Linked DNA regions of Arabidopsis thaliana. The protein of the gene in region 1 binds, or shares a complex with, the protein of each later gene. Each region holds a gene or a part of one and is shown in the gene's direction. Other genes may lie near its edges.

Evidence for each region.
Region 2: CBL3 (region 1) and CIPK16 share a complex: the UniProt entries of both Arabidopsis thaliana proteins name them as parts of the K(+)-channel calcium-sensing kinase/phosphatase complex.
Region 3: CBL3 (region 1) and HAI2 share a complex: the UniProt entries of both Arabidopsis thaliana proteins name them as parts of the K(+)-channel calcium-sensing kinase/phosphatase complex.

Annotation. Positions count from the first base shown.
Region 1 is NC_003075.7:13,406,669-13,414,880, reverse strand, and holds CBL3 (calcineurin B-like 3), read left to right. Parts: upstream 1-3,810; 5' UTR 3,811-4,257; intron 4,258-4,712; 5' UTR 4,713-4,769; intron 4,770-4,851; 5' UTR 4,852-4,882; coding exon 4,883-5,006; intron 5,007-5,171; coding exon 5,172-5,254; intron 5,255-5,379; coding exon 5,380-5,439; intron 5,440-5,513; coding exon 5,514-5,634; intron 5,635-5,754; coding exon 5,755-5,888; intron 5,889-6,005; coding exon 6,006-6,118; intron 6,119-6,215; coding exon 6,216-6,273; 3' UTR 6,274-6,459; downstream 6,460-8,212. Other genes in the region: OPT5 (oligopeptide transporter 5), read left to right, coding at 1-747; AT4G26580 (RING/U-box superfamily protein), read left to right, coding at 1,992-2,494, 2,582-2,939, 3,030-3,176; CBL7 (calcineurin B-like protein 7), read left to right, coding at 6,908-7,030, 7,101-7,148, 7,260-7,319, 7,395-7,503, 7,627-7,760, 7,875-7,987, 8,091-8,148. UniProt on the Arabidopsis thaliana protein: Acts as a calcium sensor. CBL proteins interact with CIPK serine-threonine protein kinases. Binds calcium ions. Binding of a CBL protein to the regulatory NAF domain of a CIPK protein lead to the activation of the kinase in a calcium-dependent manner.
Region 2 is NC_003071.7:10,667,953-10,675,521, reverse strand, and holds CIPK16 (CBL-interacting protein kinase 16), read left to right. Parts: upstream 1-2,629; 5' UTR 2,630-2,911; coding exon 2,912-3,612; intron 3,613-4,271; coding exon 4,272-4,980; 3' UTR 4,981-5,112; downstream 5,113-7,569. Other genes in the region: GPX1 (glutathione peroxidase 1), read right to left, coding at 5,694-5,723, 5,809-5,976, 6,049-6,167, 6,586-6,647, 6,742-6,818, 7,134-7,388. UniProt on the Arabidopsis thaliana protein: CIPK serine-threonine protein kinases interact with CBL proteins. Binding of a CBL protein to the regulatory NAF domain of CIPK protein lead to the activation of the kinase in a calcium-dependent manner.
Region 3 is NC_003070.9:2,278,289-2,285,159, reverse strand, and holds HAI2 (highly ABA-induced PP2C protein 2), read left to right. Parts: upstream 1-2,331; 5' UTR 2,332-2,503; coding exon 2,504-3,007; intron 3,008-3,100; coding exon 3,101-3,412; intron 3,413-3,496; coding exon 3,497-4,009; 3' UTR 4,010-4,414; downstream 4,415-6,871. Other genes in the region: SMO2-1 (sterol 4-alpha-methyl-oxidase 2-1), read right to left, coding at 5,127-5,199, 5,303-5,383, 5,482-5,694, 5,783-5,902, 6,043-6,188, 6,436-6,573. UniProt on the Arabidopsis thaliana protein: Involved in the negative regulation of the K(+) potassium channel AKT1 by its dephosphorylation, antagonistically to CIPK proteins (e.g. CIPK23). Functions as a positive regulator of abscisic acid-mediated cell signaling during seedling growth.

The DNA of each region.
Region 1 (8,212 bases):
CCACTTGCCAATGTGGCTTTTAAGACTTATGGTTCTGTGAGTATAGCTCAAGCCTTGTACTTTGTCGGAGACTTCAAACTTGGCCACTACATGAAGATTCCTCCGAGATCTATGTTCATCGTTCAACTCGTTGCGACTATTGTTGCTTCAACTGTCTCCTTCGGGACCACATGGTGGTTGCTTTCTTCAGTCGAGAACATCTGTAACACAGATATGCTCCCAAAGAGTAGTCCGTGGACTTGCCCTGGGGATGTAGTGTTCTACAACGCGTCGATCATTTGGGGAATCATCGGTCCTGGAAGGATGTTCACAAGTAAAGGTATATACCCCGGGATGAACTGGTTCTTCCTCATTGGCTTCCTTGCTCCTGTCCCGGTCTGGTTCTTTGCAAGGAAATTCCCGGAGAAGAAGTGGATACATCAGATTCATATTCCCTTGATCTTCTCAGGGGCTAATGTGATGCCAATGGCCAAGGCTGTGCATTACTGGTCGTGGTTCGCTGTTGGGATCGTGTTCAACTACTATATCTTCAGGAGGTACAAGGGATGGTGGGCAAGGCATAACTACATCCTCTCTGCAGCTCTTGATGCAGGCACTGCGGTTATGGGAGTGTTGATCTACTTTGCGTTACAGAACAATAACATAAGCTTACCAGATTGGTGGGGGAATGAGAACACAGACCATTGCCCTTTGGCAAATTGCCCAACAGAGAAAGGGATCGTCGCTAAGGGCTGCCCGGTGTTCTAAAACCTTGTTGCAGTTTAACATTATCTCTGTAGTTTCTCATACCTGCAGGTGAGGGACAGTTACTGCAAAGTCGTTTGGTGGCCATAATAATAATAATGCGTAAAGACTTTGTGAGAGTTTAAGTGATAAAGTAAAAAATGGTTTGCAAATTAAGAACACCCAAAGATGATAGCTCTAACACAAATTTCAATCAAAGAGAGTATAATTTCAGGACAAAGCAAAACAAGGCTAAAAGTTTCCATCTTTTTCTAATTGAATAACACTAAGATCTGTGAACAACTTCCGTTCCTGTCAATTTCAAGCAATCAAGAACCAAATTTGTCACCTTCTATTGAACTCAGGAAAACTCCTAAATTGTGCAATTTAACGTACATGTCAAACGTAATCAGATCCTAAGATTCATAGTTAGGTTTTTCAAACCTTCGAAGTCATCATGAGAGAGATCTCCAGAGGAGGCAGGAGATGGAGGACAAGCTTGATGTACTCATTATGGGAGAGCTCAAACTTGAGCTAGTAGAGCTACGCCATTATTTCCCAAGCTCACCTTTGTTTGACTCGATCACAAAACTCAGTGAGTCAGACTCAGTTCAACGACCCTCTAATTTGGATACCCGTTTACGCGGCCCAACCCGGCCCAATACTGGATTTTGAATTTTTTTATGTTTAATGATTTTCTTATAAATATTTGGCTTTGCGTAGAGGGAGAGAGGGAGAGAGGGAGGAGAGATGGCGTTGTCTAACCAAAAAAAAAACGAGAATAGATAAAGCAGCAGCGGTTGCTGTCGGAGTTTTGCTTCGAAGACAAAAAACTAAGGTTGTTAGGTTTTATAGGCCAACGGTTTATGTTCTCCTACTTCTCTGCTTCTTCTGCATTCTTCAATCCTAAGCAAAAATCCATTTGTGGACGTCACTATCAAACGGCCAACTTCACCTTCTCTGACAATATCACTACACCTTCCTTTCTTCTTCATCTCTTCTATCTTCACTATTTTTTTACCAAAATCTTCTCCATCTGCTGGGTTCACACCAAAACCTACACTTTTTGGTATGTTGCTCTGTTTCGCAGAGTGAAGATAAGGTATTTGATGAAAATGCCTCACTGATATATCCATCCATGTCTTTTTTTTTACATGTACTTTAATTGCATATTTTAAAGACTTTTCATGGCTTTTTAGCTCAAGCTTTACTCTGTTTCTCTTTGCTCTTGTTCAGGAGATCAAATCAAAGACCTCTCTGTTTCCGATATGAGTACCCGTTATTCCTCTCAGTTGCAATCATCAGCCATTAACTCCATCACTGTCTCCTCATCTTCTTCCTTCGCTTCCACGCAACTGGATGATAACACTCACACGGCTCCGGAGAGCTCTCCATCTTCTTCCTTCTTCATGAGACTTGCCATGAGGGTATCTAGAGCAAGGTGGTTCATTTTCTTGAGAAGAGTCTTTCATTACCAGAACGCCTCAAGATCCGATCTTGGCACCAATCCTTTCAATTCTATCGCTTGGATGGTATCAGAGCTCATCGCTTTACTTTTACAGATCACTGTGATAACATCCACACTAGCTTTGTCCAAAAACGAGAGGCCTGTTTGGCCGATGAGGTTATGGATCACTGGCTACAACGTTGGATGTCTGCTCAATCTTATGTTACTATACGGTCGGTATCGTCAGCAAGATACTAGCCATGAAAATGCATTTAGCTTCGGCGATATTGAGCAGCAACAAAGAAGCAGGGAAGAGACCACCAGGTTACTAACAAAAATCTAGTTTTTTCAAGTTTGATCATAAAATGCAAAGATTTCTAGGAAAATGACTTATTTTTGTGTGTGTTTTAGGTGCTCGCATTTGATGAACAAATGCCGGACATCGCTGGAGCTATTCTTTGCGATATGGTTTGTGATAGGTAATGTATGGGTTTTTGATTCTCGGTTTGGTTCTTTCCACTATGCTCCAATCCTTCATGTCCTCTGCATCTCCCTACTCGCTTGGAACGCTCTCTGTTACTCCTTCCCATTTCTTCTCTTCCTCCTGCTCTGTTGTGTTGTACCTCTCGTTAGTAGCTTCCTCGGCTACAACATGAACGTTGGATCTTCGGAAAAAGGAGCTTCAGATGACCAGATCTCCAGTCTCCCAAGTTGGAAATACAAACTCATTGATGAAACTTCTGATTCTTCTCAAGCAAACAATGATCCGGTAAGCACTAATTTGAATTCTGAAATAGGTCAAATAGTCAGAAATCAATCTTGATATCAAAACTGAAACCCACCGGTTTCATTATTGCAGGAATGTTGTATATGTTTGGCAAAGTACAAAGAGAAAGAAGAAGTGAGAAAGCTTCCATGTTCGCATAGGTTTCACCTCAAATGCGTAGATCAATGGCTTCGTATCATCTCGTGTTGTCCTCTTTGCAAACAAGATCTCCCTAACTGAAAAATCAAAACAATACATGAGTCACAAGATTGAATCTCTGACCAAGTACCATATATGTGTTTTTTTTTTTTTCTGTTGCCGCCTAAACACGTTTACTTGTGTGAATGTCGTTATCATTCCTTTTTTTTTCTTGTGTACAAAGTAGCTCACCAGTAACTGTAATTTTACCTAAAAAAAAAGTTAAAAAACATGATCAATCTGTTGTTTTACCAGTAGAGTTTGTCCCTCTCTTACCATTAATCAAAGTTTTAATTGTTGGTTAATGTAACTAAGCTTATACTGGTTTTTGCTATAATATTTTTTCCAAAGACAATTTAAACCGAATTCAAACCCAGAGACCAAATCAGACCAAAGCAACAGTCAGAATCCGAATAACATGACACGCCGTCGTATAGGAACGATTATTGAAACGATGGTGTTTAAGACAGCGCATAAATGGACACATGCTCCACTAGACGACGACGTGTGAAAGTGAATGTAACAAGGAGTTTTATTACAACTGTATCAACATCGAGTAAAAATAAACAAAATTATTTATTTTTTAAATTTAAAAAGTATAAAAACGCCAACAAACAAAAATAATTTGGTCTTTTTCTTAGCATATTTAAAATTTTGCAATATATTCATTCTGCTTATAGAAAATCGTGTCGACCTTTTTTCTCTCACTTACCCAATAAGAGCTTTTTTCGCGTTTTCCACCGCAACCACCGTCACCTTCAACCGCCGGAGCCGCCGCAAGGAAGGCTCATCATCCGCCGTGGCGTAAGGCTTTTTCTTCTTCTCTTTCTCCCTTTTCTACGATTTCGCGGTCGGTCGCTTCCTCGTAATCTCGTGTGTTTATTCCGGGAAAATCGCGATGGGAAACAAGTTAAAATTTGAGATTGAGAATCAAGCAACTAATTTCTTCGCAAGCTGATAGATCCATGAGCTGATTACCAAGTTTATATAACGAGATTCATCGTTGTTGTATCTCTGAATCCGAACGATTTGGAATCTAAAACTCATTGGATCGCTTTTTCTCATATCCGTCATTTCTCCTTAGCTTAATCACTTCTCTGATTCATATCGCGATTAGATTCAGGTGTCGATCCTCAGAGGATTATATTTTCTGACGATTAATCCGTCTGGATAGTTTTATTATGTTCTTCATGATGCATTTTTTTTCCCCGCAAAATTCATGATGCATTTCTGACGTGAAATTGGGTGTTTTTGATTCCTCATTTTATCCTAGTTCATGTATTTTTTGGGGCTGTTTCTTAGATTTGGGTTTCGTGTTTTAGCTTAAAGATAGTTCCTAATCCATGAATACATTGGTTAATCTGGAAATGAATCTGGAGTTAAGATTAATGCATAAAGTTTACGACCGTTTATAATATGCGTCTCCTCTGTTTGTGTTTCATAGTATCTGGTGCTTTAGTCTAATTCAGATCTGATCTGAGAATGATGAATCTTGTTTGCTCCTGTCAATTCTTCTTTAACTGTTTTGCAATTTGATGAGCTAATAACTGACTATATCTCATTTCCTTCCCATCGCAGAATTTTTTGAGGTGTACAAAGCATTGCCTATTTGACGAACCAGGAAATGGTTAAAAGGTACTTATCTTGTTCAAATGCATATGTCTTTAGATTCTTCCAAGTGGTTCGAAAGTTCTTACATTTTATTGTTATTTAACAGGCATGGAGAGTTTTGATTTACAAGATATATCATGTCGCAGTGCATAGACGGTTTCAAGCATGTATGCTCCTCTTTTTTCCGGTGTTTTGATATCGATATTTACAAACAATCTGGAGGCCTTGGTGACCCTGAACTTCTTGCGAGAGAGACAGTTTGTATGCTCTCAACTTCTTTTCCATCTTATTTTAACTTCCATGCACTTTTTTTTTCCAGTTATATGTATGATTCAAAGGCTTGCCATTACTCTAGTTGATGCTCTCTGTTAAGAGGAATGCAAATCTTTCTTTCTGTGTTTTGATCATTGACTCGTTTGGGTGCAGTTAGCGTGAGTGAAATAGAGGCTCTCTATGAGCTGTTTAAGAAAATCAGCAGTGCTGTGATTGATGATGGGCTAATAAACAAGGTATGAAGGAAGGGCATCATTATATGTCTTTTATGCCACTCACTTATACTCCTCACGAATCATGCATATTGCTACGTCTTTTGGACATCCTTTTCTGATTTTCCTTGACCTGTCTTGTCGTTCAGGAAGAATTTCAGTTAGCCTTGTTCAAGACAAATAAAAAAGAGAGCTTGTTTGCAGACCGGGTATGTTCTTCTTTTTTAATCAAAAGACTTTGTTATCCATTTGCCAAGATCCTTTTTGAAAGATAACTTGACAGTACCAATCACAGGTATTCGATTTGTTTGACACAAAGCATAATGGAATACTGGGGTTTGAGGAGTTTGCGCGTGCTCTCTCTGTCTTTCATCCAAATGCTCCCATAGAAGACAAGATTGACTGTACGTCTTTGATCTTACAAAGTTGATCTGAGAAACCATCTATACAATTTATCTGATGTTGACATGCTACATGTAACCCATGAAATATCACTAACAGTTACCGGGAACATTGTTTTGCAGTTTCGTTTCAGCTATATGATCTTAAGCAGCAAGGTTTCATAGAGAGGCAAGAGGTGAAGCAAATGGTGGTGGCTACTCTTGCTGAGTCCGGCATGAACCTGTCAGACGAAATCATAGAGAGTATAATCGACAAGGTGTGGTTCCTTCCTACCCTGCTCGATACTATATTCTTGTTCCACTGTTGTATAGCCAACTCATGATAGCAGTTGAGAATAAAGTAAAGAGTGGTTTCTAAGTTTCTTCTTTCACAGACATTTGAGGAAGCTGATACAAAACATGACGGGAGGATCGATAAGGAAGAGTGGAGAACCCTTGTTCTCAGGCATCCTTCCCTTCTAAAGAATATGACTCTCCAGTATCTTAAGTGAGTTCCTAAACCAAGACTTATCCGAGGTTTAGGCAATGCAACTTCCAATTTTTTCTGTGTTATTATTAACACCGATCTCTGATATTGTGTGCAGGGATATAACAACTACATTTCCGAGCTTTGTGTTCCACTCGCAGGTGGAAGATACCTGAGAAAAACAATAGCATATTAGCAGAGGAGACAATTTGGGAATTGTGTTTGTTTTCTGATTATGTATCATGTCTATTTGTTTCAATCTCTCTGAACATTTTCAAGATTTTGTTGTTACTTGTGTGAATTAAAAGTAAAGAAAACAAATCTGTATTTTTGCTACTCCTGATTTTGATTGCTGATTTTCTCCTCGCATCTGTAGATATACTACTAACCTTGAGACATGAATCCTATTAATAAAGAGCAAACTGATGAAGTGATAATAGAGAGCAAAAAAGAGAGAACCCAACACCAAATGATCGGGTATGCTCTAGTCTGAATTCTGAAGTCAAAATTGAAATCACCGATTTGATCGAACCGGATGCAACATTACAACAATCGGATTTGTTAGTCTTGTGGTTGACTTTGTCAGTTAGAGTTGACAAAGTAATTAGCAAAGTTAGTGACGATTGTGTTCTGCATAAACACGTTTACTTTGAGGAATAAATTACTTACTCTTTCGGTCTTTCCTAATATATATGTTTTCCCTGTCTCAAAGATCTGAATAGGTATCAGAGCGCGTTGACAATCTCTTTTTTTGATCATCGATTTGTTCTCTCTTTCTTGGCTAAAAAGTTTCTATCTACACGACTCTCCATGGATTCAACAAGAAATTCAGCTTCTTCCAACTCCACGGGATGCTTTACGGATCAGAAAAAGCGAAAGGCACTCTATGAGGTGTTTAAGAAACTCAGCGGTGTTGATTGCCAAAGAAACGAGGTTCGTATAAATTATATGTAACTTTCTTGCTAAGTACGCATATGATATAAATCTGTGTTTCTTCGTTCAGGGTAACGTTGTAGAAGGCGTAACGTGTTATTATGGTGAAATGAACAAGGTATTTGGAATTATATATAAATATATATGTCTTTCTTGCCACGCACTCCTTCTTTTCAACAAGTCTTACAGATTTTCCATAACGTGTCCTGTTGTATTTCTGTTGTATCAGGAACAGTTTCATGTAGCCATATTCCAGACTGACAAAAATGAGAGCTTGTTTTCAGAGAGGGTATTTTATTTTTGTTCTCAACAAAAAAAGTCTTTGTAATCCATTTGCAAACAATGACATTACCCTATCACACAGGTCTTCGATTTGTTCGACACAAATCATGATGGATTACTTGGGTTTGAGGAGTTTGCCCGAGCTCTCTCTGTCTTTCATCCATCTGCTCCTATAGATGATAAAATTGACCGTACGTCTCTGATCTCAAAAACTAGACCCGATATATTAACCATCTACAAACAAACTGTTCACATGCTACCTATATATATTCCATGAAAGCTTATTAACGGTTACCTGGAACATTATTTGGCAGTTTCGTTTCAGCTATATGATCTTAAGCAGCAAGGTTTTATCGAAAGGCAGGGGGTGAAACAACTGGTGGTGGCTACTCTTGCTGCGTCCGGCATGAGCCAGTCAGACGAAATCGTAGAGAGTATAATCGACAAGGTGTGTTTTCCTTCCTTCTATTTTTTGGTTCGACTCTAGTCTATAGTATAGCCAACTAAGTTTAAGCAGCTGATGAATATGAAGTGAAGAGTGATTTTTGAGTTTATGAGGCAGACATTTGTGCAAGCTGACACAAAACATGAAGGGATGATCGATGAGGAAGAGTGGATGGACCTAGTTTTTAGACATCCTCTTCTTCTGAAGAACATGACTCTCCAGTATCTCAAGTGAGCTCCTAAACCAAAGACTAACCCGAGGTTTAGCCAATGCAACTTCAAATTTTTCTGCATCACGTATTATTAACACCATGATATCTGATATTGTGTGCAGGGATATCACAACTACATTTCCGAGCTTTGTGTTACACTCGCAAGTGGAAGATACCTGAGAAAAACAATAGCATATTAGCAGAGGAGACTGTTTGGGAATTGTGTTTGTTTTCTGATTATGTA
Region 2 (7,569 bases), on another chromosome or scaffold:
GTGAGTCGTTGGACTAAAAATCACGATGATTATGTGGTCAAATATGTGTATCTTGGTGTATATTTGTATTTTCTGTGATTAAGATGATTGCATCTTTAAGACATATTTGTAGCTTTAATTGAAGTCAATACTGATATTTCTGAAGAGATTGGGAAATTTGGAAGACATGGAATATTGGTGAACTTTGTTTCTGACTTTAATGATTTCAGAGTTGTTGGTTCCAGCTTTATTAGTTCGCTTCATTTCATATATTCAAAAAAAAAAAAAAACTTTCCTTTCTCATCAAATCTATTGATAGTTCTAAAATAAAACGCAAAATCAAACACATTTGTACATCATTTTAATAAAGAATGTTCAAATGAGAGTAATGTGTATTATATTGTAACATGGAAATGCAATTCTAAACGCAAACGACAAACTCTGATCGAAGAAATGTGTTAATTGATTAGGGAATTGTCACGGAGATATATGTAGGAAATCAAAATTGTTAACGAAGTGTCTTTCAAAATATATCTTCACAAATACACAGTTCGTAAATGCGTAATTATTTTTAATCTAACAGTTCGTTCTGTCACATGGATCTTTCAGACCAGTACAGTCGTCCTTTGCAAAGATTTATCAACTTTCTAACAAAAAGAGAAGCTACAGAAAGTAGAGAAAATTTTGTACTTTTGAAGTAAAGAAAAAAAAAAGAAGTAGACAAAATTGTGTAGGATTCTTCACGGTTTTTGCATTCTTCTTTATTACCAAGTCTTCAATATTTTCATTTCAATAAAACTTCCCCTTTCTTACAAAGAACTCTTATTTTCCATTTTTCTTCACATTTTTCCTTGCAAGATCACTCATTTTAATTTATGTAAATGATAGAATTTGAAGATCCATACTTCAGCAATCTGTTTTTCTTGGCATGTTGAGTTTTTATCAACAACACCAATTATTATTTTATTTTCTCTGGTTCAAGAAATTGTCTAAGCTCCATTCAAACATTCTGTACTTATATATAAAGTTTACATCATCACATATTGTGCATCAAATAGCAAAGGTTTTGGCAACATACATATAATATGAATCGTGCTTGTACACACACACACACTCATGTATATATATGTATTTATTGTTTACCCTTGAACAACATTTTTAGGTAAGGGGGTCTTCTATCATCAGGAAAACATAAGGTAGATGAGGTAACATCTTTAGATTCGTTCGAAGTAGAACTCCTATGCATTTGATCAAATTGTTTTCTAATTAAGTAATGCAACATTTAAACCATGTGCAGCACAAACGATGGCTTATTTAGGTGGATTTGCAAATCTTTTCACTCTTTAGGGCATATTCCAATCAACTACTGCTTGAAATTTGACTGATCAATGTGATGCAAAATTCACGGCATGGCTTGTTTTAGCAGCTAGTTTCGACAACCTAATCACCCGAAAATAACAAACAATCGGAAATGCAGCGCGATAAGTAGATATATGTCTGTGATCACCCAATTAGCCACAAAATAGTGTACTATGTTTGTGATGTTACCCTTTTACTCTTCAATTTTAAATACATATCTCGTTATAGTATTTTTTTTTTTTTTTTTTTTTTTTTTTTTGGGTAAAACTCGTTATAGTATTTCGTTAGAGTATTAACATTTGTGTAAACATAATTGTTGTCATTAATCGTGGGTCCAAATCATGACACATCACAAAGTTTCTTGGACTTGTTATACATGTTCCTTAAAATGATTAGTTATATATTATCTTAATAATCCTGATCTTTAAATCGAACAAATTTAGATTTAGCTTCTTTTTTTTTTGTTAAAATTTAGATTTAGCTTTACAAGATGTACCTTTGATTATGATAGAGGAAAATAACAGTATCCCACCCAAATACACGGTTATAATGAGATTTTCATGTATGTAGAAAAATCATCAAATTGTAAGAAAACAATTGGAAAAATTGAGTGTGTTGTTTTGAGTAGCAAAATATGAAGAATCCATCAAACCAAGAAATTAGCAAAGATGTAGAAAGGAAGATTTGGTCGATAGATTCACGGACGTATTAGAAATGACCACTTTCCGATACAATCGTCCCAACTAGGAAAAGAGTCAAAGCTTTTCGAAAGAAATTAAAAATTCCTCTATGAAAAATAAGTCAAGAAATTGTTTTAAAAATATTTAAGGGCCAAGTAGAAAAGGTCACATCTTGCCTTACCAAAAAAAGACAGTTCATTGAAATTTTATCGGGACAAGTTTACTATTTTTAATTAATGCGTATCTACTTCAAAACATGCGTAGCATTAACGGCGATTCCACGTCAATTTCATGGCGTCCACAATTTTTGTATAAGGATAAGAGAGTTACTTTTATATTTTTAAAATCTATTCTGAAAACTTTAAGAACTTATTTACATGAATACATGGTCAGAAATGTGCGAGACCATTGTTTAACTGGTTAAAAAAAGGATTTATTTACATAGAAATGGATTTAAATCACCTGTTACACTTTTATTGAAATCATTCTCTTATGATCATTGCATCGTAACTCGAGATATTTATTTTTCATGCTTTAGTTTGTTAATTATATCTAGTTTTATCATGTTCTATAACCCTTTTTTAGGCACTCAACATAAATAGCAAACCCCGATTTAGTTCAATTCGCGAATCAATTTCGTCTTGGTTATTCTTTTGGCTTTGGTCGTATTTAATTATGCTAGCTGCCAGATCTTAGGCACATCACTTTGTTTAGATAAGATTAGAACATTTCTTCACAGTTCACTTAGTCGTCACATATCAAACAAAGTAGACAACATTATAAATAAAAAAATTCCACAAATAATTTCTGCTTATATATATAGATATGTAACCAAATCACAAAATTCCACATAATTAGTCTCACATATACTTGTAACTAGTCAGACAAAGACAATGGAAGAATCAAACCGTAGTAGTACTGTCTTGTTCGACAAATACAACATCGGAAGACTTCTCGGAACCGGTAACTTCGCCAAAGTGTATCACGGAACAGAGATCTCCACCGGCGATGACGTGGCAATCAAAGTCATCAAAAAAGACCACGTTTTCAAACGTCGTGGCATGATGGAGCAAATCGAACGAGAGATCGCCGTCATGCGTCTCCTCCGTCATCCAAACGTGGTCGAGCTCCGCGAAGTAATGGCTACAAAGAAGAAGATTTTCTTCGTCATGGAGTACGTCAACGGCGGAGAGCTTTTCGAAATGATCGATAGAGATGGGAAGCTCCCGGAGGATCTAGCCAGAAAGTATTTCCAACAATTGATATCCGCGGTGGATTTTTGCCACAGCCGCGGTGTTTTCCACCGCGATATTAAACCCGAGAATCTGTTGCTTGACGGAGAAGGTGATCTTAAGGTAACGGATTTCGGACTTTCCGCATTGATGATGCCAGAAGGGCTAGGTGGCAGGCGTGGTAGCAGCGATGATCTTTTACATACGCGGTGCGGGACACCGGCTTACGTGGCGCCGGAGGTTTTACGGAATAAAGGATACGACGGAGCTATGGCTGATATTTGGTCGTGCGGGATTGTTTTGTATGCACTCCTTGCTGGCTTCTTGCCGTTTATCGACGAAAACGTCATGACATTGTACACGTAAGTATTTCTTGACCAGGTTTTGGCCCAAACCGTATTTGTTTTTGTTATTTATTTGACGAATAGTGAGATACAAAAAAATATTGAACTAAAAGCCAAAGTAGTCCATTTTGAGTTGGGTTTCTAGATGCATCTCAATTTTACATCACATACTTATATATGTTAAAAAGAAATAATAATCATTTTTGGTTAAATAAAATATTATTTGAAAGAGACAGTTTAACTTGTACCAATAGATACAAAACTTGGATATAAGATATACTATTTGAAAGTTTACACACACAAAAAGAAAAGATATATAGTATTTGAATTATTTGTTCACGTAATTCAAATTTTAATAATTACTCAAAATTATACAATATTTTCCAAGATATTGAAACTATTATCAATTTGTGAATATTCGGGTGGTATTTTAGGTACATTAATCTGATATCAAATTCGATAAATGTTGGTCGATCGTATATTTCATTATAGTTCTATATTATCAAAATTTCACGTCCCGTATTTTACTAGATAATTTATAAAACTCCCGCCAATAATAACGGTCTCAAATAGTGCTCTTCTTACAAATTCAAATATTAGTATTGTTGAATGTGAATGTGAATTGATCAAATTCTCATTGTTGTTTCTTGTTTGATTGAACCTTTCGAAATAAACAGGAAGATCTTCAAGGCGGAATGCGAGTTCCCACCGTGGTTTTCCTTAGAATCCAAGGAACTACTCTCAAGATTGCTTGTGCCGGATCCTGAACAAAGAATTTCAATGTCAGAGATCAAAATGATTCCATGGTTCCGAAAGAACTTTACACCATCAGTAGCCTTTTCGATAGACGAAACGATCCCATCTCCACCGGAGCCACCAACAAAGAAAAAGAAGAAAGACCTAAACGAGAAAGAAGACGACGGAGCTTCACCAAGATCCTTCAACGCCTTCCAATTCATCACATCAATGTCTTCAGGTTTCGATCTCTCTAACCTATTCGAGATAAAACGAAAGCCAAAGCGGATGTTCACATCGAAGTTCCCGGCGAAATCTGTTAAAGAGAGGCTGGAGACGGCGGCGCGTGAGATGGATATGAGAGTGAAACATGTAAAAGACTGCAAGATGAAGCTGCAAAGAAGAACAGAAGGTCGTAAAGGAAGGCTCTCGGTGACGGCGGAAGTATTCGAAGTCGCTCCTGAAGTCTCTGTCGTGGAGTTCTGCAAAACCTCGGGGGATACGTTGGAGTATTACCTCTTCTGTGAGGATGACGTCAGACCAGCTCTTAAAGACATTGTATGGTCATGGCAAGGTGATGATGATGAAGACGATGTTACCACTAATGATAATGTTGACACAAATGATAACAAAATAAATAATGTTTCATGAGCTGTAATAATTCACTTTTTGGAATTGGATGTGCGAGGCGAGACTGTCTTATTGTGAAATTGCAAATGTATAAGAACATTTTTTTTATGATTAACAATAAAAATTACTTGGAGGGTTTGTACAATTGTCAAAAACTATTGAAGCAAAATTGGTTATATATGTTATGAACGTTCTATAGGTCATTAGTTCGAGTCTACTTCTCATTTTTTTTTTTTTTCAAGTGTTCAAAGCGAAGTAGTTTTGTTAATCTATATACAAACTTATACGGTTTACAAAATCTATACACGTTCAAGGGTTATATTGCGGATTACTTTTCAAATTCAATAAAATAATGTATATAAGATTAAGTAGGGCGGACTCACGTTGGTGCACCCACTAAACTATAAATATTTGAATTTTTACATAAGGAACTGTAACTAATCTAGTTTAATAAACACTTTGAAATGTAAGAGGTGAAGGGTTCAATGCTTTTTTTTGTAATATCATCTCCATCGTTGTTGATTGGATGTGCGCGAGCGAGATTGTCTTATTGTATATATAACACCATTTTTATAATATAATGTATATAACATTACCATTATACGCAAATTATTAAGCGATTAGTACAACTTAGAATGTAAGAAGGTATACAAGCAATAACCGGAAACTTTATGTCACAATTTACGGTTACTTTAACCATCAGTCTCTATATGCTCACTCATGAGCAAAAGTTTTTAAGCGGCAAGCAACTTCTGGATGTCTTTCTGCAAAACAGAAACAAAACGGTTTGGTTACAAACCGGGAATAGAACCGCTATGAACCAAATAGGAAGTAGTCCATTAGCCATACCTCGATTTGGAAAGGGGATGTGGTGGGAGGGTACCTCTCAACGACCTTTCCCTTTTTATCAATCAAGAACTTCTCAAAGTTCCATTTAATGAGACCACCCAAGAATCCTCCTGCGTTTGATTTCAAGAACTCGTAGATCGGCGCTGTGCTTGGTCCATTCACGTCAACCTGTCGAATTCAAACTTATTTAGAATCTGCAACCTGAAAATAAGAAGAATGAATGTTTTGGATTCTTTATACCTTATCAAATATAGGGAACTCTGCTTTAAACCGGGTGCAAGCGAATTGTTTGATCTCGGAGTTTGACCCGGGCTCTTGGAAACCAAACTGATTGCAGGGAAAAGCTAGAATCTCAAATCCTGTAATCCAAACAACAAGCTAGTATTACTAACTACAAATGCATGAGAAATACACGTTCATTGGCTTATTGCCTCCTAAATGATTAATGAACAGATCCGTACTTTCGAGAAAATTCTTTTAGCTACAGAGAACGGATGAGTGAGATTATCATCAATCAAACAAAGATGCTGAATTTGCTTGCAGTTCAACGTTACAGAACAATTTTATTTCCATAAATTAAAGTGAACTACGAGCTAGTAACATCGCTGTAGAAGAAGCAACAATAGAACCAAATCATATTGACACCACAATAATATAAAGATCTACAGAACAATTAAGTGAACACCAAAACACGAGGAATTTTCAGTAAGTAACCAAAATACCCACTGGTTGCAAACCGGAATAGATCACAATATGAGAGAACTAATTAGAACTCACCTTGAGTTTTGTATTTCTCGTACAGATGTGAAAGCTCTGAGTAATTTGATGATGTCAAACCACTGTATGTTCATAAAACACACAATCTTTAAGATTAGAAACCTCTACATGAACTGTCATCAAACACATCAAGAGGATGAAGAAGGAGAAGCTTACCATCTTGAAGCAACATTGACAATCAACATAACTTTCCCCTTGAATTTGTTCAAAGCAACATCCTTCCCATCAATGTCCTGCCTCCATAAAAATAACAATCTAATTATGTCTCTAATTGAAATCACTAACCTAAGTATAAATATACACCTTTTTTCAAAAAAAAAAAGTATAAATATACACTACGAAATTCAATAAAAATATGAATCTAAGTATGTATCAAGTTGAAATCACCATACACTTATGTCTCAAATTTCAGATTTTTATGTATGTCTCAATTGAAATCACTATGAACTTCATTGCAAAGTTGAAGATTCCCAATTTACTAAAGAGCAGATAGAATTTAGAGAACCCTAGTTTTTGGTCTGAATTGGGTAAAAGAATAAGAACCAAACCTTAACGGTGAAATCGTGAACGGTTTTTTCTGCAGCAGCTCTAGCTTGGACAGTGAAAGGACGAGACTTGAAGAGAAACCCAGGATTAATTGGAGATTTTAGAGAAAACCCATTACTCAGATTCGCGAAATTCGATATTCCGGTGGAGAATTTCAAGGAAGGGACGAGAAAGGTTGCTGAGGAATTAGGTCTAGAACTGTTGACGACTGTAGAGAATGTTCCGTACGAAGAAGATGAAGTAGTCATGGAAACCATTTTTGGTTACCGGAGACGAGTTTATGTTCGTCTTCTTTCGACCAGTGTTACACGTTCAATAGTGAAACCGAGAGATGATATAGTCGAGACACGACGCACTTTATATCATGCCAAAATACACATTAACTAAAAAAACAAAAAAAACTAAATTTTTGGACCATAAATGTGTTTTTAATTTTAT
Region 3 (6,871 bases), on another chromosome or scaffold:
TTTGATCAGTAACACTCATCACAAATATCTTATTTTAGTTTCTGATGAGCGATGATGGTCTTATTCACACAATGCTATTTACTTTTTCCCAAACTCATTTTTTTCCTTATTGCTAGATCATGAGCAAAACTATTGATTCATGATTGTAGTAGCACTTAAGTGTTGCGAAACCAAATTAAAGATGAAAAAAAAATTGTAGGTGGTACATCAATTAATGTTTGCTTTTAATAGGGTGGATGTAATTAATGAAGTACTGATTTTCCATGAAGAAGACAAGCCAAATGAGAGCTTGAGATCTTGAAAACAACCAATAGAAGAGTACTGCCTATACATGACATGAGCATGATAAAATGTTTTTGTTTAAAGTACGGAATTTGATGATCAAATTTTTTGTTGTTGATCAAAACGTAGAAACACAAACTATATATCGATCGCCCCCGTGAGTAGTACGTATTATTATTTCAAAAGTAAATGATTTTGCAGACTTGCAGTTATTCATTTATAAGCGAAACGTTATCTTATGCAATGTTTACATTTGCAACACCAATTAGCTTCTTTTTTTTACAGTTGAGACTTGAGAGACACATTAAAGCTTGTCATCGTTCACTGGAGAGAGTAGAGTGTGTGAGAGACAAAGTGACCTAACTTCACTGCAACAGTAGTCGGTAAATATCCAAACATAAGAGCTACGATGGTAACACGTGTACGGTGGAGGAAAAGAGAGCCCTCAGATTCCGTTATAAAGGAGGTGAGACCCACTCGCCGGAATGGAAACAAAGGAGAAACGTAGAGGTAAATGGTTGGGCCACTGCTTCACCAAAAAGCCTTTTCTATCTTCTTTTTATTTTTGTTTTGTGGCTTTTAACGGTTAACAATATAACTCCTCATTCCAAGACAATTACGTGTCCTCTGTACGGCTTTTTCATTTTTCACTTTCTACTTCATAGTGACTTTAGGGAGGCCTCAATTTTTAATTACTCGAGGATTATTTAGGTAATCATGAATGTAACTACAGCTTTACAGGTAATTAAACAGATGAGATTTAGTTGCGTGAAATCTAGCTGATCTGGTGCTTATATCAAATCCAATTGATGGAGACAGATTTGGACTTAAATTCATGATTGTATTTGTAATCTTATATACGTTATAGTTAAATTTCTTTCTCTCCGTACGTACTCTAACTATAATTATTATTAAATGCTGAACGCAATGCTTTTGAGTGCTGAGAATCTTTTTGGTCTGATTCAAAAATGATGTATTAGTACTCTGAATTCAATCTTAACTTCTGCAACGAATCAATGTATTAATTTATAGGAGATCCGGATAAAATTATGGATATATGCACGCTACTTCTTTCATTTTTAATTAGGTAAATGGTTATAACTTTATTTTATATATCAATTAAATGATTTTGGTATGAGATTACTAGTACACTTTCTTTGCAAATGTTTTAAACACGACAAGACAAAAATATTACAAGCATATTTTGGTAAAAAATATCATAAGCTTTCATATCAAAATCATTAGTTATGATGTTAGATTTTTTTTTTTTTTTTTTAACACTACAAAAAGCTCTGGTCTTAATATGTTAGAAATTTTAGTCCAAACCAGCCTACAGAGGATTTAGCTAAACAATTCCCAAGCACCTTTTAAGTGTTAACCGAAATAACGTAATATGATGTTAAAGGTTACATAAAAACAAAACTAAAGAATTTTCATATGAAAAGTTAACGTACGTGTCTTAGTGTAACCTAATTTTAGTTCACAGTATATAAATTCTTTAATGAGATGATCGCAAAATCGCTGTATACAATTTCGTACTTAATTCGTTAGTCTTGAAAAGTTGACCTAATTTAGATCAAATTAAGGTTAACTACAATAAAAATTTAACTAACGTAATGGGATTCTTTAAAATTAAAAAATCGTTGATTAGATAGATATTTTATCTTTAAGGGAGACACAGAGACAATTTGGACAAAAAAGGTCTTCCTGAGAAAGAAGTGGACCACAATCGTGGCGCGAAAGGAACTTCCTCCTCCCCTCTGTTGCCTTGTCATTGGGCCACGTATATCTCCACCTGATCGTGATGCTTACGTGGTCCATTTCTAGATACTATAGTGACCAGATCAACGGTCAAGATTGATTCTAATTTAGACGAAAGACCAACACGTCACGTCGCTAGAGTAAAAGATTTTTTGAAGGCGGAGGGAGAAAAATCAAAAGTTAAAAGTAATTTGAAAACGAGGAAGAGAAAAAGGAATTTTAAAATGTTTAATGAAGCGGTAGGCCGCATGGGTATATAAATGGGCACGCTTTGTAACGTGTAACGATGATATTTATTCAACTGCGTGGTATAACCAAAAAAAAAAGAAACACTATTCGACTCTTTTTTTGTTTTTGTAATAAACATAAAATAAATTTTGGAGAGAGATATTTCGTCGGAAATTAATTGACGTTCAAAAGATTCGTTACCGGAATATTTAGTAGAGGCGGCGATCGAGTTATGGCGGATATTTGTTATGAAGACGAGACGTCGGCTTGTGAATCAAGACCGTTGTGGTCTAGCCGGAAGTGGAGGATCGGTGTCCAGCGATTCAGGATGTCTCCGTCGGAGATGAATCCCACGGCGTCGACGACGGAGGAGGAGGATAAATCTGAAGGGATTTATAATAAGCGAAATAAACAAGAAGAGTACGATTTTATGAACTGTGCATCGTCGTCACCTTCTCAAAGCTCTCCTGAAGAAGAGAGTGTATCACTTGAAGACAGTGACGTCTCTATCTCCGATGGAAATTCATCGGTTAATGATGTTGCAGTTATTCCGTCGAAGAAGACGGTTAAAGAGACGGATCTGAGGCCGAGATACGGCGTCGCATCGGTGTGCGGGAGAAGAAGAGATATGGAAGATGCGGTTGCGTTACATCCGTCTTTTGTACGGAAACAAACGGAGTTTTCTCGAACAAGATGGCACTATTTTGGTGTTTACGACGGCCATGGCTGTTCTCACGTACGACGCCGTTTTACCCTAATTTGAAAATTTCAAAATTATTGATATATTTACGGTTTTGCCTGATTGAAATATACGATGTCGTTTTTGTAGGTTGCGGCTAGGTGTAAAGAGAGACTTCACGAGTTAGTGCAAGAAGAAGCGTTGTCGGATAAGAAAGAAGAATGGAAGAAGATGATGGAGCGTAGCTTCACACGTATGGACAAAGAGGTTGTTCGTTGGGGTGAAACTGTGATGAGTGCTAATTGTAGGTGTGAGCTTCAAACGCCGGACTGTGACGCTGTTGGATCCACCGCCGTTGTCTCCGTCATTACGCCGGAGAAGATCATTGTTGCGAATTGCGGTGACTCAAGAGCAGTTCTTTGTAGGAATGGTAAAGCAGTACCTCTTTCTACAGATCATAAGGTCAGTCTTTATCTCTTTCTAACTCTTTCTTGATTTGTTTGATTTAGTGGATTTTAACTCTTGTTTACGTTTGAAAATGAACAGCCTGATCGTCCGGATGAGCTGGATCGAATCCAAGAAGCAGGAGGACGAGTGATATACTGGGACGGTGCAAGAGTCTTAGGCGTTTTAGCCATGTCACGAGCCATAGGAGACAATTATTTAAAACCGTACGTCACTTCGGAGCCGGAAGTGACGGTTACGGATCGGACTGAGGAAGATGAGTTTCTGATTCTAGCGACGGACGGGCTATGGGACGTAGTGACGAACGAGGCAGCGTGTACGATGGTGCGCATGTGTCTCAACAGAAAAAGTGGTCGTGGAAGACGGCGAGGAGAAACACAGACTCCGGGGAGGAGGAGTGAAGAAGAAGGGAAAGAAGAAGAGGAGAAGGTGGTGGGGTCAAGAAAGAACGGGAAGAGAGGAGAGATCACGGACAAAGCATGTACGGAGGCGTCAGTATTGCTGACGAAGCTGGCGTTGGCAAAACACAGTAGTGACAACGTAAGCGTCGTCGTTATTGATCTCAGAAGAAGAAGAAAGAGACACGTTGCTTGACACTAATCTCCTCATCACTCTTACTCCACCGTTTTTTGTGTTGTTTAAAATGATTCTTTTACCTTGGGACGAAGGTAGCTCAAATCTTTGAACCCAAAAGAGAGAAAAAAAAAGCATTAGGTCTAAAAAAAAAACCCCGGTTTACTGAAAGCGGTTAAACCGGGTATGGTTGGGTCTTTTTTGTTCTGAACCTTTTTTTCTTGCCTTTTTTCGGTGTGTAATGAACAAACAGAAAAGGAAGCCGGAATGTGTCACTGTCTAGGTGGAATCAGTTCAGAATTCAATTAATAAAAAAGTATGTATATGTTTTCTTGGCTTTTAAAGCAAACCAATTAACTCGGATACGCGTGGTGATCTTTGAGAACATCACCGGGAATTTTCAGTTTGTTGATAAAGATTTTAAAATCTCTATAAACGAGTGGGCCTTTTTGGTGTTGGAAGAAATTCAAAATCTCACGGAAACGAAAAGAGAGAGAAGATAATTGGGAAGAGGACGGAGTACGTGTCGAAGAGGTAAAAGTAGAAACCCTACACCACGTAAAGAGGATGTGACACACCGGAACGATGCATATGTTAATATGCGCATTCGTACGTGTCGGTGTCGGTGTCGGGTAATTGATTGAGATCTGAATATGAACCTAATCAGACTGTTTTATCTAAACATGATCACTGGTCTGATGGAAAATCAAAATTAACTTACCTGTCATGTAATGTAAGAATTTTATTAAGAAGGAAAATCGAACCAACACTCCCAAAGCATTTGGGCCGAGAATTTTGGGGTATTATATTTTCATCTGAATCCTATAAGGCTATAACCTACCCAAAAATTTGGTAGCGCAACATCTAAACTTGATACAGAAAAATGAGACAAGGATATATTAAGCTTCAAATAGATGACCCATACAAAATGTTTTAATTGCCCAACCTAAACACATACTGAGTTGAAGTACCATATGTTTTTTCAAATAGGCCACACGAGCAGCAATTCTAGTCAGACATAATAAACTAAGACACATGAGCGTTGCAGCAACCTGAAAGCAAAATGTTAAAGAAAAGGAGAGGTTGCAGAATAAGACCTCTCTAAGACAAATGTACTCTGCAATCCAAAGTGGCAATTTCACGTTTGTTTCATGTCACCGTTTTCTTTAAGGGTCTTCAGTCTTCTGTACCCCTTGTCAGTACCAAAGATCCTGAAGAACACCAGAGACGAATTATACACTGGATATTAATATCAGGACAACTAAAGATCTGTTCTGGAAAGCGAAGAGATATTAAACAAGTTCAGAGGTTCACCAGTCCATATACACAAAAGTTGAAGAGTAGTTTCCGGACTTTGTGTATAGCAGTCGGTGATGGTAGTCATGGAAGTCAGCACTGTAACCAAATCACAAAAATAATAATAGTAAAATCTATTAATACAAATGTCTTATGGTTTTAAGTTTCAAAAGAGCTGGCTAGATGTGTGATCTTACCCTCCATACAGAGGAAGAAAATTTGAGAGGCTCCATGGGAAATGATAACCACAATGTGCCTCAACTGTCTCCAGCACTCTCAACACCATCCATAACCAGAGAGTAATTAGGTGAGGGCCAGTAAGAGCTGGACCGACTATGGTAGCAAAACCCAGAAATAGAATCTCAGCGGGGTGAGCATATTCTGATGTCAAACCAAATGGTGTGGCATATCTGTGATATCATGAAATGGTTGCTTTTCAGAAACTCACAGTTTCAAGTATCAAGACTGAAAAAAAAAATGGTGAACATTGAAACTTACTCATGATGCACACTATGCACGTTCTTGTACAGCCATTTTGAATGCAAGATCCGATGACCCCAATAGAAGACAAAATCCTCAATGATAAAGTAGAATAATATCTGGGCAGACACTTCTTTCCTGCAGGACCATCACCAAAGAGGGTCTTATATACCTGATCAAACATGAGCTCAGGTTCTTTCATGATGCTCAACACTGACATCTTTTGATTATGTTTTTCTTTCTTTTTATTGCCAAATGGACGAGTTTAAGATCAATACCAGGACGGCAGAGGAAAACTGCTTCGCATTCCCATGGCTCGGAAGACAGGGTAGGAGGCCAACATCAGGGGCAAGTTTACGGAGAAATGATAAAGCAACAGGCGAGTAATACATTTTCCTTGGGCTGCAGGTGTGTTATTTTTTGTCTGCATAGGGACAAAAGAAAAGTATGTGTTGACCATAAAGGGTAAGAGAAGCATAGAAAAGGGTCATATTCACAATTATTAGTAATCGCTGAAATGGACATCAGCCTGTCATAAGAAAACACTTTTCACGTGAGACTGAATTCTTGGGGATCAACCTCTAGACTATCATATTCAAACCATCACACAAAGCTATGATTGCATACATAGAAGACACTTGTAAAAGATAAATAATAAGAAGAGAATAAACCTGAATTTTGTACTTGCTGAGAAAGCCTTGCCTTTCAAGAAAAATGAAAGGGAGTCCAGATAAGAAAAACACGCTTTCATGGAGGAGAAAACTCCCAATACATGCCAGTTGAAAGTCGCTAAAATGTGTCACAAGGTACTGCATCAACCACATAAAATGATCAGCTCCAGATACAAAATTTCCGTGCTGAATGAGAACTCATGATAGACAATACGCACAAAACACCAAGGAAAGGAAACAAATACTATCATTAAGTAAAAACTAGTTTCAGTGATCCAAGTTAAGGACACAAGACACCCAAAATGCACACTAAGTATAAGAAACAGACTCGAAAACAATACATAACAGTAATCAGAACGGCGTTTTATCGATTTTGGTAACCGATCATTGGAAAGTCCGTAAGCTAAACCGATTGAACAGAGAGCACAAAAAAGGG